2 linked regions of the Oryzias latipes genome follow. The protein of the gene in region 1 purifies or fractionates together with the protein of each later gene. This does not show direct contact. Links are inferred from orthologs where the notes say so. Each region holds a gene or a part of one and is shown on either strand. Other genes may lie near its edges.

Region 1 (4,413 bases):
TAGCTGAGAAAAGTTGTGTCACAGCCAGACGAACAAACATCAGCTGACTGGAATAAACTAAACAAGAAGGTAAATACCTAGACAAAATGTTCTGTGTGGTCCTAGTACCTAAAACTGTCCATCCCAAAGAACCCAGAGGGGATCATACTCCACCATCTTAACCCAGTGCCCAACGCTCTTGGAGGATGGCACTCTCCAGGTTCTCTGGACAACATTCAGGGCTCTCAGGTATCTCTTAAATACCGGATTCTTTAAGGTAAACTTAAGGTATGTTAAAGGCATCCCCAACCCCTGGGCGGTAGACCGGTACCAGTTTGTTGGACAAATGGTACCGGGCCGCAGAGAAAAAAACAGGACCTCCATTATTTCTGTTTTATTTAGTTCTGGGTGAAGTTTTATTTTAAAAATCTACTGGATTCTTCACCGCATCCAACTCATTCTTCAAGTCGCTTGGTTGCGTGTTGAAAATCCATCGATACTTTCTTAAAGCGTGCGCAAACTGCAGCCCCGAAGCTAGCACAGTTAGCAAAAAACAAACACATTTGGAAAGTTTCTTTTTGCAGAGAAGAGCCAGTGAGGAAACAGAAGACGATCCTTTGACTTCAAAATAAAAAAACAGCAGCATTTAACAGAAAAAAAAGGATTTATTGTGACAGTTGTTCCCACAGACAATAATAATAATACATAACATTCAACAACCAGCGGTCTAATATTACGAGGATGCTGCTAATAAAGTTGTTCAAATGGTGGATTCCCATTTATAATCATATTTAAAAATAAAACACTTTTTTTTAAATTTATCAATTGCACCATAAAAGTCGGATGAGGGTGAGGTTGGCGCTGACAGCAGCTCCACGGCGGCGGAGTAAGACGGTACCTATGTTCACGTGACTACTGCTGGTTAGTAAGCATAAAGTGGATTTCCATCTTTATGCAGACGACTGCCAAATCTTTGTTGCTATGCGCAAATGTCCCGACTGTTCAGGCAACAACTGGACGGCCAAGTGGATGTCGGCTAACTTCTTTGGGCTTAATGAAACAAAAACTGCAGTAATTATGTTTTCCCGTCGTGGTCGAAAGGATCGCGGTCTTCATCTCCTCTCGCTCGCCCCGTTTCAACAGTCTGTGGTCTATAACCTAGGCGTGAAACTCGATGCTACCTTGAAAGTGGACCTCCAAATAAAGGCTGTAACCAGGTCCTGCTTTTTTCAGCTGCAGCGTTTGGCGAGGATTATGGTTTTTTTATCCAAATTAGATTTTGTAATTGTGTAGCATCTTCTGTGTAGTCAAGGCTAAATTATTGCAGCTCCTTATATGCGGTGTCCCGCAATAGCGAGGCTGCAGCTAGTTCAAAATGCAGCCGGCAGATTTATTCGTGGTACAAAGAAATCTGAGCGCATTACCCCAATCCTGGTCTCCTTAAACTGACTGCCCATGCAATCGTTTTTTTTTTTAAAAAGAAAAAGAAAATTCCTGTTTTTGTTTTTGTCATTAGCAGGTACGGCATCTTCTTACCTAGTCTGCTTTTAAAATATTCTCCCCTCGAGTTCTTGTGCTCTGCTGACCAGTGTGTGTTACTATTGTGAGAACCACATGTAAGTTCTAAAGGGATTGTGCGTTGACTCAACATCCACCGGCTAACAGAGAGGTTACACTCTTGGAGAGCTTTAAAGCCAAACTGTTCCTCCACCATCACGCCGCTGTCTCTGCCTAGCTGCCTTTTTGTTATGTTGGTTTCAATCTCTGTTTTTATACTTATATGATGTATTCTACCTTCCCTGTGTACAGCACTTTGGGTCTACGAGGCTGGGGGTGGAAGGTACTCTAGGAATGAATACATGAAATGTAAATGTCCTTTTCAGCCAAAATGATAATAAAAATAACAAGCTTTTTTCAACAGCATTTTTTCGACAATGCTGAAGTTGGCTTCTGATTCACAGCTTCTGATTCGCGGGAGCACTAAAGAAACATTCCACTGCACTTTTCACACAGCGGTTTCTGAACAGGACCTGGTCTGAGGTGGACTCTGTGCGTAAAATGCGATACAAATCATTCTTTCACATTTTTACAAATCGGAAGAAGGTTTAATAAATCAGAACCTGCGTTTAATGCATTCTTAACTATCTAATGTATAATTTAATCCAGGTTTGAGGGGTCCAGGTCCAGCGGTGTTTTAACAGGGACCGGTTTTAGGTGATCTTAGCCCGAGAAATGCATTGAATGTTTCTTTAGTGCCCTCGCGAATCGGAAGCCAACTTCAGCATCATGTTTTTTCGTCTGCTCCTGATGATTCACAACAATTAGATTAAAAAATACTTAAAAAAGCCGTTTTAATACCAATTTTCCTTAAGATATGTCCTCCAACGTGAGAAAAATGTGACAAGAACATGTTTGAAAAAGAATTTTCATTGGAGTGCGTCTTAATGAATCATCTTAAAATTGATCCGGACACAGACAGATATTTATTGTGTTGTAGTTCATTTGGATGGATGGATAAAGTCTCTTTTTTTTTAACGCGCTTCATCTTCACAGACTCCACTAAAGGATGTCGGGGTACCTCTGGGAGAACTTCAGGAGCTCCGCTTCCAGCTCCTCCTGGATTCCGCTTCTCTTCTTGTGGAGGTAGACCGGCGGGAGGACGACGTGCCTCCTGCGGGGGTTCATCACCAGGCAGGAGTACGGCGCTGACAGCAGCTCCACGGCGGCGGAGTAAGACGGGACCAAACACGGAGCACCGCCCGCAGCTTTTTCTGCAGCTGCGGACGCTGGATCCACCGGAATCGAGCCAGAGACGGCAAGAGGTTCAGCCGACATTTTCACGTGTTTTGGTTCGGCGTGGATCAGGTTCTCCATGCTGCGTGAGAAGACCGGAAAACAAACAAGTCGTAGTTTCCGGAAAGAGGATCGACCTGCCACCAACCGAAGTTTAACATTTATGCGTATGTTGCCCTCTGCTGGTGAGGCGGTGAAACTACAGCATGAAATATGAAGCATGAGCAGAAACGTAGTCTTTTATTTTTATTTTTTATTTTTATAAATAAATGTTTCATTCTTGTTTCATTAATGTGGACTGGAATCATCAAAGCCAAAGTGGGACTATTCCCAAACAGAATGAAAGATGTTTAGAGGCAGGTAACTGAGTGCTGGGAGGAGGCGCATTACCTGGAGGTACACCGCCATTTGGAGACACAGAGTGAATGAACATGCTTCACCCTTCCCGAGGTCGAGCATGCAAGTTGCTTCCAAAGATCTTTATTAGCACCACTGTAGCCCAGACACCAGTGTTTTTTTCTTTATAAAAAAATACTTCTATTTGTTTATTTTGCATGATTGTGTGTTCTTTTAAATCTGCTCATGGATCTCTTTCCTTTCTGCATGGATAGTGGTCCTGAGTGCAGGACTGCATGGCCATTTAAGGACTGTCAGCTGGGATGAGTGGAGAGCACTGGGCAAAATACTAACCATTCACATTTTTCTCTCTTTATTTTTATTCTAGATGTGTTGTTTTCAAATATATTGTTTTATGAAACCATTTCTTTTAGATTAGACCTGTTTTAACCTGTTTTAACATTTTCAAAGTAAAAGGCCTCTGCTGTCTCTGGTCACTCCAGAGACAGCAGAGACTGCAGATCTGCCGCTTCTCGGCAGATCTAATACTTTGTACTGTAGTTCTGGGGCTTCACCCTCTTAATCTTGATGTCTTCTCTTCCTGCAATAGTGGCAATGACAAGACAGTTGTATAAATATAGGAGAATATTGTGTTATTTATTTCTATAGGAAGACTCCAATGGTCATGCCCTCCCATAGTGTTCTGTCCTTTGTTATGTAATCTGTGGAATGTTATGCAATGGAAGCCTGGTAAAGGTTCTCATTGATTCTGGATCCTCTTCTCAGTGGAAGTGTCACATTAAGATCATTAGGGTGACCTAAAGTGTGAATTTGAGCAGCTGATGAACACTCTGTCTTATATTAAACATGCGGTACTTTCAGAAACATAAAGACAGAAGCAAATCTACACTGCAAAAACAAAAACTAGTACAAAAATATATTTTTGTACTTGACATGAGACAAAACTACTTCACAAGTAACTTTTCCGTGTGGTAAAATGACTGGTTTTAAGACAACATATCCTGAACATTTTGTAGAAAATGTTTTGTTTTAAGTAATATCGCTAAAAAAACTATTTTTTGACTCATAATGTTCTTTTAATCTTGACAACTTTATCTTAGAATGTTTGATTCTAGTCTACAGCTCTTAAAGTAGGATTTTTTAGGGGGAGAAGTAGCATGTCCTGTAGGTTTACCCATCAATGTACCTACTTTACAGAAGTGAAAGGGTTTTAAAAGCAACACACGCTTTTTTAAAGACACAATATTTCCAGTTATCAAAGCAATATAACTAATTCAGGACAAC
Region 2 (4,137 bases), on another chromosome or scaffold:
GCTGGGCTGATTTTTTTTAATAAGTGAAGGCTTGCAGATGCGTGTGACACGTTCTTAATCCTTCTTGTCTGAGTTCAAAGCTGTACTTGCTCATCTTTTTATATTAGGATACCGGTCCTGCACTTGCTCTCATTTTCCCACAGATTACTATCTAATCTTGGGAGAACTAGGCAGCGGCATGCAGGAGTTTCCTTTTTAGAAGATCAAAAGACTCTATGGCACTCATTTAAAAACTCAGGTGTATCAGGCACCCAGGTATCAGATATTTTACAAAAACCTCATTTGGATGTCTTTCATCCTACAAATACTAAACACACAAAGACAGCACGAGAACTGATGTGAACATTATTATATATTTATTTTTTGCATGCATTAGTAATAATACAAAAACTGAGCCTGCTGTAAATTACATTTTCAATTATTATTGTCAATTTTCTGCATTTACCTTAATAACGCCCCATCTGCAAAGCAATTACTAAAATATATATATATATATATTTTTGATACCATCAATGTTTAGATAAGCCCTCCCCCCATCTCTCAAACCCCCCGTTCACTGTCTGAGTCCAACCCCCCCTAGGAGCGAAAAGGGAGGACAGAAGAGGCGACAATGGTAATAACAGAAAAAGCCAGCATCACACACACTGACGCCGCTTACAGTGAAAGGATGCAGATGTGATGTTACCTCTTCAGGCTGCTCCTCTGCGCCGCGCCCGGGCCTCGAAGAGGGGCGGGGGTGGCGGGACAATTAGCAGCTGCGGGACCTCAGTCACGCAGTCGCCGCAACGGACGGCCCGTTCCGCAAACCTGCACGAAAACGCCCCCGTCACTTTGGTGCCTGGTCCCGCCCACTGCTGTCCGTCAAAGAGACTGGGCGGAGTTTGCCGCTGTCAATCCACAAAAAAAAGAAAAAAAAAGTAGAGGTGGCTTCAATGTCGCCTGCCCAAAAACGTCCATTCAGCGGGAATTAAAATCTTTTAATATGTTTATGATTCCGATATGTTAGAGGTAATAACATAAACGGATAAAGCTTCGGGATCATACAGGGCATGGAATATTTTTTGTTTTTCAATGTGACAATTACAACTATTATTTTAGTAACTAAATTACTTTAGAATAAATGTTTGGGTTCTAAAAACGGCGTGAATTTTACAAAAATGCATTATTTATTTAAAAAAAAATGTTATGGTTTAACAATATAAAACAATGAAATGATCAGGCATCTTTTGGTCATAAAATCAGGTCCTCGAAAGAAGGACCTCGCAGAGGTAAATAAATCCCCTAACATGAGCCTGTAGAAATTTCCTGAAATAATTCTGCGTTTTAAAGTCTTTAGGTGGTCAGGCATAATGGCTGAAGATAATGAATTGGAAAAGTAAGTATTTTTTATTTTTAGATTATCATCGATTAACTTGTTTACGTTTGCTCGGTTAAACTAATACATCGGGGGAATGGTGTCTGGTACCACCAGATTAGGCTAGCATGTTTGCATAATGCATTTCTGTAGCTATGGGGTTATTTTGGTTAGGGGACGGAGTGTATCTTGTGTAGCAGTCAACACACTCTGCCTTTTGGCAATCAACAGCTGTTCTCACTACGTGCTATAAGATCGGCTGAATCAGAGAGAGCCCCCTGCGAGACTAATGCCTCAGCTGGTCGGGTTAAACGGGGACACCGCTGATGTCCCAATTACTTATGATTCACTTCCTCCGCGTCTCCTATTTTCTTCCTCGCTCGCACATAATTATATTAGTCTCCCCTTGAGCTTTTATGTCATCTTGGTCTTCTGTTGTTATCCGCATTTTTCTACGTCTTTTCCTCCAGACGGGCTATAGAGGAACTCCTCAAGGAGACAGACAGAGCCAGGGTGAGAGCTGAGACCATGGGCCCTGCAGGATGGTGAGTTATGGTTCTGAAATGTCATCCCTGACAGCCTCCACATAAAACGCCATGTAAAATCTTACTTCATAGGTTTAGCTGTTTTTTTTGGAGGCTTCTATTATTGTTGTATTTGTGTTTAACTAGTTTTCTATTATAGATAATTCGTCAGGTTCCCAAAGACACTTGTCTCTCTTGGCATCTAAAAGCACACACATATAGACTAAATTTATTATTAATATTTATTTATTGATTGTGTGTCTGTAGTGATTCTATGTCTAAAAAAAACGGTATAACCCTGTGAACTTTCCTGGAATTGAAAATATGCTTTCAGACATTTTTATTTTCTGGGCTGACGCTGATTTATCAAAACTATTTTTTTCTTCTTGATTTATTTCAGATGTGAGAGGTCAAAGCTAATGTTCTGAAGCTGTCATTCACTCGTCATTTAATGCAGTTACAAAAGTCACTTGAAAGGAGGGGACAAAAGGCAAATAAAATTTTTTTTTAAAAGACTGTCCATAATTATAATGTTACCTAACTTAAACTTTTCACATTTTTTTGTCTATCCCAAACATTTACATGACAACGTTCTCTGAAGTCTGCAAGGCTTGTCTTTTGTGTAACAATTACAGTTTGAGTTTTTTCACACTGTGTCGCATTTACAATCATAGATTTATCTTGGTAACCAATATTTGTTGACTGATCTGTATTAATTAGATCGACAAATGTTTGCAAGTATATTGTTGCACAATGATTTCTTTTGCATGAAATTATTTATTGACCTATTCACTTTTTGTGTATTTGATCTGTTTGATGGTTAATGGGTTTCTCTTTGGATCTCCCTTCATTGAGTCTCTTGAAATGATAAGATTTATTTGTGTATGTTTAACAGATCTTAAACAAATTTAGAAGGACTTTATTCTTTTTTGTGGGTTTCTAATGAAGAGGTTTATGTTATTTTGTTTTTTAGGTCTGGTCCAAAAAAACTACAGAATATTAAAAAAAAGTTGGTTTATGTAATTTCCAGAAAACTTGCACCTCTTATCACACTATTTAGTAGTAAATTAAAGAATGACCCAGTATTTTTAAGTGTTAGAAAACATGGAAAAACAGCACAATACCATAATGTTTTATTTTCATGTGGGAACCTAACAAAAAGTGAAATTATACAAAAAGCAGTAAGGTGAGCATCTAACTCCCAACTTAAAGCAAAGTCATGCCCTTAATAGTTGTCCTATAATTTAAATTGTACTCTGGAGACAATTTGTCCTTTAATGGAAACGACTATACATCTGTCAGATATACTGATCAGATAACTGTCGCTTTTCACATTAGACTTTAGATTAAAAAAAAAACCTTAATTCTGAATTTTTAAGTGGTTGTGTTGTCTTCTTCTCTGTCAGGTTGAAATGTCCCCTGCAGAGCACCAACAAACGCTTTCTCCTCAACACTCTGCGCTCTACCGGCCTGCAGCGGCGAAACGATGAGCAGAGAACCGCAGACTCCAAAACAAGAGACCGCCTGACCCACAAGTCCCGTGACAGACGGTGTGACCGCAGCAGAACACCTCCGACAGACCACAGGAGTAATGGACGCCACAAAGACCATAAACATCACACCCGTTCAAACCGAGATAAGGAACTGGACAAAGATAAGAACAAATCTGACAGACACGGGGACAACAGCAGAGACAGGAAGCATGCCGATGGACCAAACGGAGACAGAAAAAGAAGTTCTTCATGAATGAACTTGCTGTGTTTTAAAGGTAGCCTTGATGCTCTACTGAAAAATTAATTGGCTGGAGGAGTATGGCTGACTTGAAATAGTTCTGTAGAGCCCTCTCACCCTCACAGAGACCCAGACAGACTAGAAGGACCTCTGCTGATCACAACGAATTGTACAGTGACAGAATATACAATTTGTATTACAGCTTTTGAATGAATGAATGAAGAGAGTAAAAGGAAATAAATATTTTGTGTTTTCAGGCATGAATAATTGATCCTCTTACAGTTCTAACATGAATCTTTATGCACCAGAACGAAACATCAAATATACTTTTTAGGATATAATCTAAAAATCATATCAAAGCTAATATTTGTTTTATCATGTTCCACTTTGTAAAGGTGGCTGTAGCTCCATTATAATGTCATTAACCATTCTTTTGTGGTTATCCACCACTGGTGTTTATATAAGCCATGCTGCTGTCGCCAAAGAGTAAACAAATTTTATATCCTGTCTAATGTTTTGAAATGTGCA

What was found. Proteins that work in one complex are often made in the same cells at the same time.
Region 2: the proteins of twistnb (region 1) and protein POLR1D purify together in Homo sapiens (affinity purification with mass spectrometry; 3 studies listed by BioGRID and IntAct, counting the BioPlex papers as one, with this or other methods). This does not show direct contact. The link is inferred for Oryzias latipes from reciprocal best matches to the Homo sapiens genes POLR1F and POLR1D.

Annotation. Positions count from the first base shown.
Region 1 is NC_019869.2:9,793,564-9,797,976, reverse strand, and holds the start of twistnb (DNA-directed RNA polymerase I subunit RPA43), read right to left. Parts: upstream 2,895-4,413; 5' UTR 2,854-2,894; coding exon 2,558-2,853; intron 1-2,557. UniProt on the Homo sapiens protein: Component of RNA polymerase I (Pol I), a DNA-dependent RNA polymerase which synthesizes ribosomal RNA precursors using the four ribonucleoside triphosphates as substrates.
Region 2 is NC_019878.2:17,475,328-17,479,464, reverse strand, and holds protein POLR1D, read left to right. Parts: upstream 1-1,210; 5' UTR 1,211-1,268; exon of another isoform or gene 1,269-1,329; 5' UTR 1,330-1,349; coding exon 1,350-1,375; intron 1,376-1,824; coding exon 1,825-1,899; intron 1,900-3,284; coding exon 3,285-3,624; 3' UTR 3,625-4,114; downstream 4,115-4,137.